2 linked regions of the Drosophila melanogaster genome follow. The protein of the gene in region 2 interacts with the protein of the main gene of each other region in a pairwise test. Each region holds a gene or a part of one and is shown on either strand. Other genes may lie near its edges.

The links. Proteins that work in one complex are often made in the same cells at the same time.
Region 1: the proteins of CG14926 (region 2) and CG14153 interact in a two-hybrid assay, tested with the Drosophila melanogaster proteins (one large-scale study listed by BioGRID).

Annotation. Positions count from the first base shown.
Region 1 is NT_037436.4:10,641,000-10,645,703, reverse strand, and holds CG14153 (uncharacterized protein), read right to left. Parts: upstream 2,177-4,704; 5' UTR 2,162-2,176; coding exon 2,114-2,161; intron 2,048-2,113; coding exon 1,382-2,047; 3' UTR 1,089-1,381; downstream 1-1,088. Other genes in the region: CG14154 (uncharacterized protein), read right to left, coding at 2,827-3,000, 3,103-3,678; CG32066 (uncharacterized protein), read left to right, coding at 3,910-4,172, 4,239-4,503.
Region 2 is NT_033779.5:11,341,131-11,345,646, forward strand, and holds CG14926 (uncharacterized protein), read right to left. Parts: upstream 2,189-4,516; 5' UTR 2,039-2,188; coding exon 1,970-2,038; intron 1,916-1,969; coding exon 1,707-1,915; intron 1,650-1,706; coding exon 1,453-1,649; intron 1,399-1,452; coding exon 1,349-1,398; 3' UTR 1,171-1,348; downstream 1-1,170.

The sequences.
Region 1 (4,704 bases), on a different chromosome or scaffold from region 2:
AAAAGGAACGTTGTTCAGTATTTTTTCATTTTCCTAATTTTATTTTAAATTACCTTTTCCGTTCTTGTTTGATTATATATTACTCATTGCAACTAACGCACAATAACCACACTATTTTCCTAGCATAAACTCTTTAAAAAATGCCCACAAAATCAATAGGTTTTTAATGAAATTCAAACACTCAATTATGTTGGCTAACCTGAAGTGTTTGGCCATAACAAAGGCCTGTGAACTATGCAAACACAAACGTATCCCCGCACTGGGTTAAAACACATTACACAGAGCCACATCAGTTTCTGCGGCAGTTGGAGGATATGCCGGTTGATTGTCTGGAGTCAAATAAAATCGATTTGTTTAATGGCAAATCCCTGTGAATGGCGCATTTCCCATGGTTCGCTTCCGTTTGGCGAAACTTTCATTCAAATCGATTGTGGAGCACTATATGTATAGCTGAAAGCTGGGATCTAGGACAATCGGGTAAATAATGGTGGAGGTAGGGAATGGCGAAGTCATCGCCATCGTCGGTTTCTAGTCTCTGATGTCTAGTGTGTCTGCAACTTTGTGCTCCCGACGATAATGGTAATGATAATGGCGATGATGATGATGATGATGTTAAACGCTGCAAACTGCACGTTCATTGTGTGCTCAAAGTGTCAGCCGCCGGGCGCTCACAGATTTTCCCGTGTAAAAAGTTGCATATATGTATACACCGATATATATATATGTATGTATGTACATACTATATAGCCCAAACGTGCTTCCCAACTAACTGCCACTTCCGTTTCTCGAAGAGGAGGAGCATTGTTTCTGCGCCTTTGTTGCCACCAGTTTTCAGTGCGCCCCAAAGTATGCTGTACAATTTATTGACTTTGCTTGTAACTTGCTTCGTTTTAATGTCGCGTTTATTGCGAAAAATCTTGGGGCATCGAGAAGGCACTTGTATAGAGTACAATAAACTTGGCTTTAGTGCTCCTTTATGTAAGTTAACCACTGATATTCAAAGTTCAACGCATGCCACAGAATACAAAGAACATGCTTCAAAAAATGGGTATTTCCCTTTTAGTGAAGTTTTTTAAATTAATTAAAATCTTCTGAAAATAACTTTTATTGTTGTGTATCTCTTACGGAACTAACTAAGCATAGTTTTGTTACATACAATTATTATTATTCTTGCCTTTTAAAGGGATAAACCAATATTTACTGTGTTGGCATGTTGACTCTACAGCAGCTGCAATCTGTATCTTTATCGGATGCAATTGATCTGTTCCGAGTACAGACAGAAATAGTTTTCTTGGCACGCTTTCAACGAAAATTGCTAATGGCTCTTGAGGGGATTTATTCAATATGTTTTTTGATGCAAAGTCAAATGCAGAGTATTCCCCTACTTTTCAACAAAATCCTCGTTGGTGTTGTAAACTGGCTGCAGGCGTCTTGGATATTTACGCAAATATTCGGCAAAATGTTGGGCATATTTGGCCTGGTAATCACGACGCCTCCAGGGCTGAGCGGGTTCATAGAAATTCTCCTTATTATTGTACGTATTTAGATAGTTATTTGTGGCCAATGAGCGACTGCCGCCAATTTGGACCACTTGCTCCTCATCGCGACCCGAATCGCTGGTCTCCAATTCCGGATTCCTTTGTGGATATGGCTGAAGTTGAGGTGGAATTTGAGATTGAGGATAGCGCAGAGGTGTTGATGGCGTAGTCTCCTGTTGTTGATAGTAAAAGTAGCCGGGCACATTGTTATAGTTGTGATTGGGAGCATGTGTTGGGTCTTCCCTTCTCCAATTTGGATATGCTTGTCTATACGCAGGTTCCGCAACATAATAACCATTACTTTTTGGATACTGCTGCTGTTCCTGGGCACTGTACTGATTATCATTCACTATGATAGGCGGACCCGACCATATCGATTGTACATCTGGATTGGCATAGTTGGATTGAGCGTAGTTGGATGTGGTAATTGCATAAGCACTGCCATAAGGTGATGCATACTGAGCTCTCCCACAAACTGCATCGATCATCAGGGGCATAAGTGCACATAGCTTGGAATAATCATTAATAGATTAATCATCTCGGGTGTCCGAATGGAAATCTAGTGAAACACTCACCCAGCTCGACGAGCTGCTCTTCACGATCCGTCCTGTTTGCGGCTTCATTTCTGACTGTTCAGAACGATTTATGCTAATAACGTATTTATATGAGGTTTCACAACAGTCTCTCTGGAAAGCCATATAGTATATATAGTATAGTAATGTATAGTAGTGCATGATGTTCGTTTGCAGCAGCGCCTCTGTCAAGGTGATTGGATGAGCAAACCCCACTTTACCTGACTCAAAAATTTAGCAGGCGGCATTTCTGTAATGTTTGTATTTTTTCTCACGCACGTTTTTTTGCAGCCCTGACAGCTTAAGTGCGGCATCGTTGTTTTGGGCCTGGCCCGTAGTGGAAAACCATTTGGAAGCATTGGCAACACGGGCGGCAGGCAAATTGCGGTGTCACGTACCGCGTAATTAGTAATTAGATTTTCAAGTCAACTGTAATTAGAGGTTAACAAGAGCGAGTGTTGAAAGCAACCGATAGTTGCATACCTTATGATCTTGTTGATAAAGCTGCTTGCTAGAAGAAAAACTTACAAGTCCGTTTCCCTACATATGTATCTTATCTAAAAATATGACTGAACTTCAAAATTAGAAACAATTCGAGCTTGCTTTATTATAGTAAAGGGTATCAACGTTTTCTTACTAACATTTTGTATAAAAAATACAAATTGAAGACTTATGTTTGAAATTTAGCTGGCGTTACTTTAAAATCCAATTCACTTCTACAAATTTGGTTGCATGTAATAGATAAAGAATGCCCCATCACGTGGCACTGGAAGCTTTCTCAGGAACTCGCCACCATCGTATGAATCGCTAAATAATTGGGTTAGATTGGCGTTGGGTTCCATCTGCTTGGAAATGGGCATTCCGTGGCACGTACTATCGCGCGTTAAGAACTAGAAAAAAGAATACAAAATAATTAGATTTCAGTGAAAAGAAAAAATTGTCTAAATATGACTATAGCTTAATATTTCAAGAACGACTTGCTTTAAACGCACCATCATCTCCCTTATGGTTGTCAAATTTTGTGGTGGCGGAGGATGATTGAATGGCTCCTTATTGAATATGTTATCGCCACAGCACTTGAGCAGATGGGATGTTATTATGTTCCTAGATCTGGCCTCGTCTGCATTTTGTGGTGGTTGGCGCAGCTTGTCCATCCACATGGTGGCCATCGTTTTGGAGCGAAAGTCCAGCTGGCAAATGCTTTGCTCCAACTTCTGAATATCCTGCTCGAATTCCTCGTCGAATTTGGTGATTTCTGGATTTACCCTTTTGGAGGAAGTGGATGGCTCCTTCCTCAGATGTTCACGCTGCAATTCCTTTTCACGCTGACGTTCCTTCTCCAGTTCCTTGCGCCACTCCTGCTGATGCTGCTTTTTCTCTCGTTCCTTTTCCCTCGCGAGTTCCTTTCGCCGCTCCAGTTCCCGCTTGCGTTCCATTTCCTCCTCCCTCCTGCGCTCCTTGCGATCCTCCTTGCGCTCGGGACTCGGATTCTTTTCGGGCTTCTGCGATTCGGAATCCTCCACGACGAAGGTCTTCTGTCTGTTTCTGCGAGCGGTGCGAATCAACATCCCAAAAGTTGATTAGAAAACTAACTAAATAATTTTCAATTTACCCTTTCATGTCTCGTTTGTAAATATTTTTGAATATGTTCCTAAATCCCGTACTGTTTTGCTTGCTCATTTTGACGGATGTTTCGAAATGATGCCAGATAATATTTCATTGCTAGGCATATTGCATACCTAAAATCATGTTCAAAGTGATAAACTTATTAAGTTGTATTGTATATTTCTATTTTTCAGATGAAAACCCCCGCCATACAGAATGATTTTAGCTACTACAGACGCATCGTCAGCCGACAGCGTGTGGATTCCACGGAGAATATGCTGGTCAGCACGGAACTGGCCAACCGGATGTCCCTGTTCTACGCCCACGCCACGCCCATGCTCAAGGTGCTGAGCGAGGCGACCTCAAAGTTTGTCAATGACAATGCCGATGATGTCCAGAACACGACGGAAACGCTGGGCACCATGGCCAAGGTGTGCCTGAGGATGCTGGAAAATCCGTGAGTTTAAATGAATCACTATCAATGATAATAAGTATTCTAATCGATGGACAATATTGCTTTTAGAAAACTCCTGCAACAGATCGAGCGTGAGGACACGAAAATGCTGGTGCTGCGCGTAATGGTCGGCCTGGTGATCCTCTACGACCATGTGCATCCGGAGGGAGCCTTCGTGCGTGGCGCCCATGTGGATGTGAAGGGGTGCGTCCGACTGCTGCAGGCGCAACCGGCCATCAAGGCGGAGCCGCTGCTGAATGCCCTGCGATACACGACGAAGCATTTGAATGGGGAGAACACGCCGAAGAATATACAGCGTTTGTTGGCCGCATAATATTGGAGGGGATCGGTGGGCGCGGCCGGTGTGGGCGGAGAGTTCATTAACGTTAATTTCTATGTGTATGCGTATCGATTTAAATGGTTTTTTACCTTTATTTATGTAATTAGTAGGCTTCTGTATTATTTGTAAAAAATTGTGAGCGAGTGTTGTGCTAGCAGGAGGCAACCTCTAGTTTTATTTTTACCCTGTGTGCAT
Region 2 (4,516 bases):
AAGAAGATTTAAACATGAGTGTTATGATTTTTTCAATATTAAAATACTATTATTTTAAGAAATATTTTAAAATGTATGTCCATATATAAAACTTGTAGAAAGTCTAAAATGCTCAACTTTTTCCTAGTTTCCCCTCAAGCACAGCTGACAGAAGAGGTGTTAAGACAAGACCCAACCGAGTCGAGAAATGTTAATGTAAATTTCAATTGTTTTAATTTATTTGTGACCCCTTCGCCACCCGACAAACCGTCACGGACTAACTTAATGTTATATATACATATATATATCACACAACAAAAAAAAAGAAAAAAAAGAACTGAATTGAAATGAAGGCAGAAAACGGCGGAGTGATTGTCGGTTGGGTCTATTCTCTGGCCTATCCGTCCAAGACGTGACTGGCATTCCACCCGGGGATCCCTCCGTCCGAAAGGGTTTCATGGAGGGGAACGGAACCGACCGTATCTGGAGCACAACGAACGGAACGGTCTCATAACCGTAGCGATTCCATATAGTTTACTGAACTCTCGCCGCACAGAAACAAATATATATAAATTAGTTCTTCCGAAATGGGCGCTTGTTAAAAACATAGTGGAAAATCGAGGAAAAAAAATGCAACGGAATGTTCGATGAAAAATGCGTTCGGTTTACCATTAATCCGCTGCCCTGATCCAGGGCGACAGATCATTACACACGCGCGGGACTTCCGAAACGGGAGGAGTTCCTCATTTGGGGACATGCGACAGGCGAGTGGCGATGTTTAGGGGCCCCCCGAAATCGTATGTATATGTAAATTTATTAATAAAAACTCCCAAAAAAAAAAAACGGATGCACATTGGCCCCTAAAAATGGGAGGGTGGGTGTGCACTGCTGCAGTTGTTGCCTGTCCGTAATTTATAGACCCGCTGCCGAATGACATGCTAACTAATAGTATCATCATAATTTATACATACAAATACATTGCATTTGTTATTTATGCCCTTGCGCCACCCCTCGCAACTAAAGCCACCCCCCACCCCATCCCTTACGTGATTTCCATACACAGATCCCCGATGACAGAGGTCACAGCACCCAAAAGGGCAGAAGGTTAGCCGGCGTTAATGGCACCGTTTGACCCTCGGCCATATTTGAATATCGATTACAATTAAACGGTCACAACTATAGATAACGTACACGTGATCGCAGATTGATAAATGTGCCAAATATTTATTATGTGATCAATTTATTATTCTTAAACGGGAAATTTCGAGTTACTTGCTTTGTGAATATACATTTCATGGGAAGCCTATTATATTTAATTTTCAAGTGCCAAATGAGATTCGTAAAGTTAGTTAGGAACTAATGGGCTCTTCTAGAACCAACTACCACGGTGGGATTGCGAAGGGTTCGGATCATTGAGACCTACAAAAAAACGATTTTAATGCGATTCTTCATTAGGTAAGTAAAATGCCTTACCATTCGAAGAGTAGCCTCCAGCTAACCTTTGACCACCACGCATGGAACCAACTCGCATTCCAGCGCCAAGGCCATTGCTCATGCCCATGCCGGAACCCATGCCTCCATCGAATCCCATAGACTCGGGCATGGAATGGCCCATTCTGTTACCCATTTCAAGACCAGGCTCTGAGCCCATGCCCTGTACCGAAGCCGGGCTAATAGAACCCAAAACAGTTTTAGATCAGCCTTAAGATCCATAAAAAAAAACTTACCCAACTTGAGAATGACCGTAACTGGGCTTAAAATTCGTGTACATGTTCATCATATTTTGGTTGTAGGAGGCGAATGGATCACCTGGAGATGCGTTATTCTGGTGCGATCCCATTCCACTGGATCCATGCAAATAGTTTTGGGTGTTCGCTTGACTTGAGTGCAGCCACTGACGACCACCGCCTCCAGGAGGAGTACTACCCCTTCCCATCTGAAACCATTCCATGGTTTAGACCCGGATACCGAAGTACGTAGGCAGACTCACCTGTGAGTAGTTGGGATTTCCCTGACCACCATGGCTGTACTCCCAATTGAATTCCGGACCGTTTTCCATCGTTAAAAAATTTAAAAATTTCAAAAAAATTTCAAATGGTTTTTGAAAAAATTTTGTTGGCCGATCTGTTACCTTACTGAATGCCGGACTAAAAATGAGGATTTCTAATTCGAGCCAACTGAAGTACACATTAATGTGTTTTCCATGCTTACTTGATTTGAAAACTTCTAACTTGTTTTAGTCATGTACAATCTATACGTTTATAATCTTCTATAACAGGAAAACAAACAAAATAAATCATTTCGTTGTCGCATCATGAATATCATTAGCAAAAACCAGTCTGTGTTCTATACTCGCTCTTAACGGAATATTTGAGATCATGCTGAGATTTTGAAATGTTATCTCTGATCTTCTCATATAATCTTAGACATAATAAAATTCAAATTTTGTGCAAACACAGTCATAATAAACATTTTTAATCATCATCTCGAGATTATTAGCCTATTAATGGCAGTTAAGAACAGCCATTCAAACTTATTGAATTAATCATTTCAGTGTCTGGGTGGCTGATTTATGGAATTAATGTCCAGATGCTGGTGATAAATAAATAAATGTTTAAGCAAATGTAGCGCAATAAATACTGATTATTGTTTTATTCTAAAAATGTAATATATTCAGACGGTGTGCTTGGTGAAAGTTGTAAGAAATATAAACCAGTTGGATAGGAAACTACTAAATAAATTTTGTCCGAAAAGGACTTTAGCACTACAAACTAAAACCCATGTTGGGCCACACTTCGGTAGATAAGAAACCTTGTTATCCTTAGCGACTTCCACCTGTACACACCGCATGCCGCACAGCTGTATCTTTTTCCCTGCCTCTGACAAACCAGTTTCCTATCGATGCAAGTTTTATTTATGTTTCTTGCCGATCTGCAGAACAAAGGCCAAAGACTGACCTACAAAGGAGCAGCAGACAATGGCAGATGACCTCATAAATTGCATCGTTATGAGGTTCATAAATAAATTATTGCTTCATATTCATAATGCACTTGAGGCCAAGTGTCGGCATGTCCTTGGACCAGCCAGCAATGGGATCTACCTGTCGTCCCACAAAATGTATCTCCCGAGCCCTAAGATTTATGGCTGGAATGGCAAGAGATGAGGGAACGTTAGCTCTGCTTTTTTAGCAGCAATTTAAAATGCATAAAATATTTGATGGTCCCTTTAACTCAAAACAAGGCATCAGGAAAGGAAACGAGAAGTGCCCTCCTTTGATCGTCATCTCCCTGATGGCTAATCCCATTTTATGGCATTCGTGCGGTCTTGGGGCCGTAAAATTGTTTTGTCACCTGTTGAAAACATTTTTTATTTTTAATTGAAAAAATCTGTTTCGGGAATGCCACGAGCTCCAGAGCACACAGAAATTTCATAAATTTCTTGGCGACCCTCGTCCGGGGGATAAATATTTTTCTTACTCTGGTTTGTCTTTCTATTTTCTCCACCAACATTTTGTCTAATTTTAAACGTATTTAAACGTTGGAAAATATGAATTTCCACCGCTTAAGGTCCATCCTAATTGCTGCCAATTAACACCTTCAATAAGCCCAAATACCATGGGCCCATTTGTCAGGGCCACGGGGGCGTTCAAATGCCTTGCCTTGTGACCCCGGCAAAACATTTTGATTTATCAACTCTTTTTACATTCCCAACACGAGTGCATCGATCAGAGGCGGAGGACACGAAAATAGCTGCATTGAAACTCCGGAGTCATCGGAGTCATCTGCATTAAGATCCGACAAAGACAACACTCGAATCGATTTAACTCTTTGACCCCGCCCACTCGTCGACCCCGATAGATCCAGGTTTCTGACTCGTCCGACAGCCGACATATGCGAGGGTCTATTAAAAAAATTGTTTATGAAAACAAACATTTTCGAGGCAATTAATCATTGGCATCATCGGTGGCGCGTGGGGGAACTTTAGCCATATAGTACCCATCTTCCAATCTTCCATCGACCGTAACCCCTTCATATCGTGCTGCTTTTGCTGCCGTTGATGATCATAATAATGATGATGATCTCCATCTGCAGTAGCTGGCTGAGTGCCTCCAGTTTTCATTTGGAAATCGTTTTATGGTCCCATCTTGAGGAACTCATCGAGTTGAGGGGGAGTGTTAAACGTCTGCCAATTAGTGATGCTTGTTGGATGTGCTGTTGCGATCGTTTTCCTAATTGGCTGAAATATGAAAGGTCTTTCGCTTAATCACCGGAATAAATCCTCTCGATCGTAGCAGTTTCATGAAGATGTGAGAGTTTAAGAGGTGGGGCTAATACTATGTTTATTAAAGAGGATATTTGAAGAAACCAATGATAATATAAACTAAAAGATATATCTATTTTGTATATTACAAAAAATAATCAATCTAATTTTATGTTCGTTCTTAAAGATACAAGATACAAAACCGACAAGCTCACAAGTCGAGCACTATTTCTATTTTGTATTTTATATTCACCTCCCGTAGTATTGCCGCTATTGT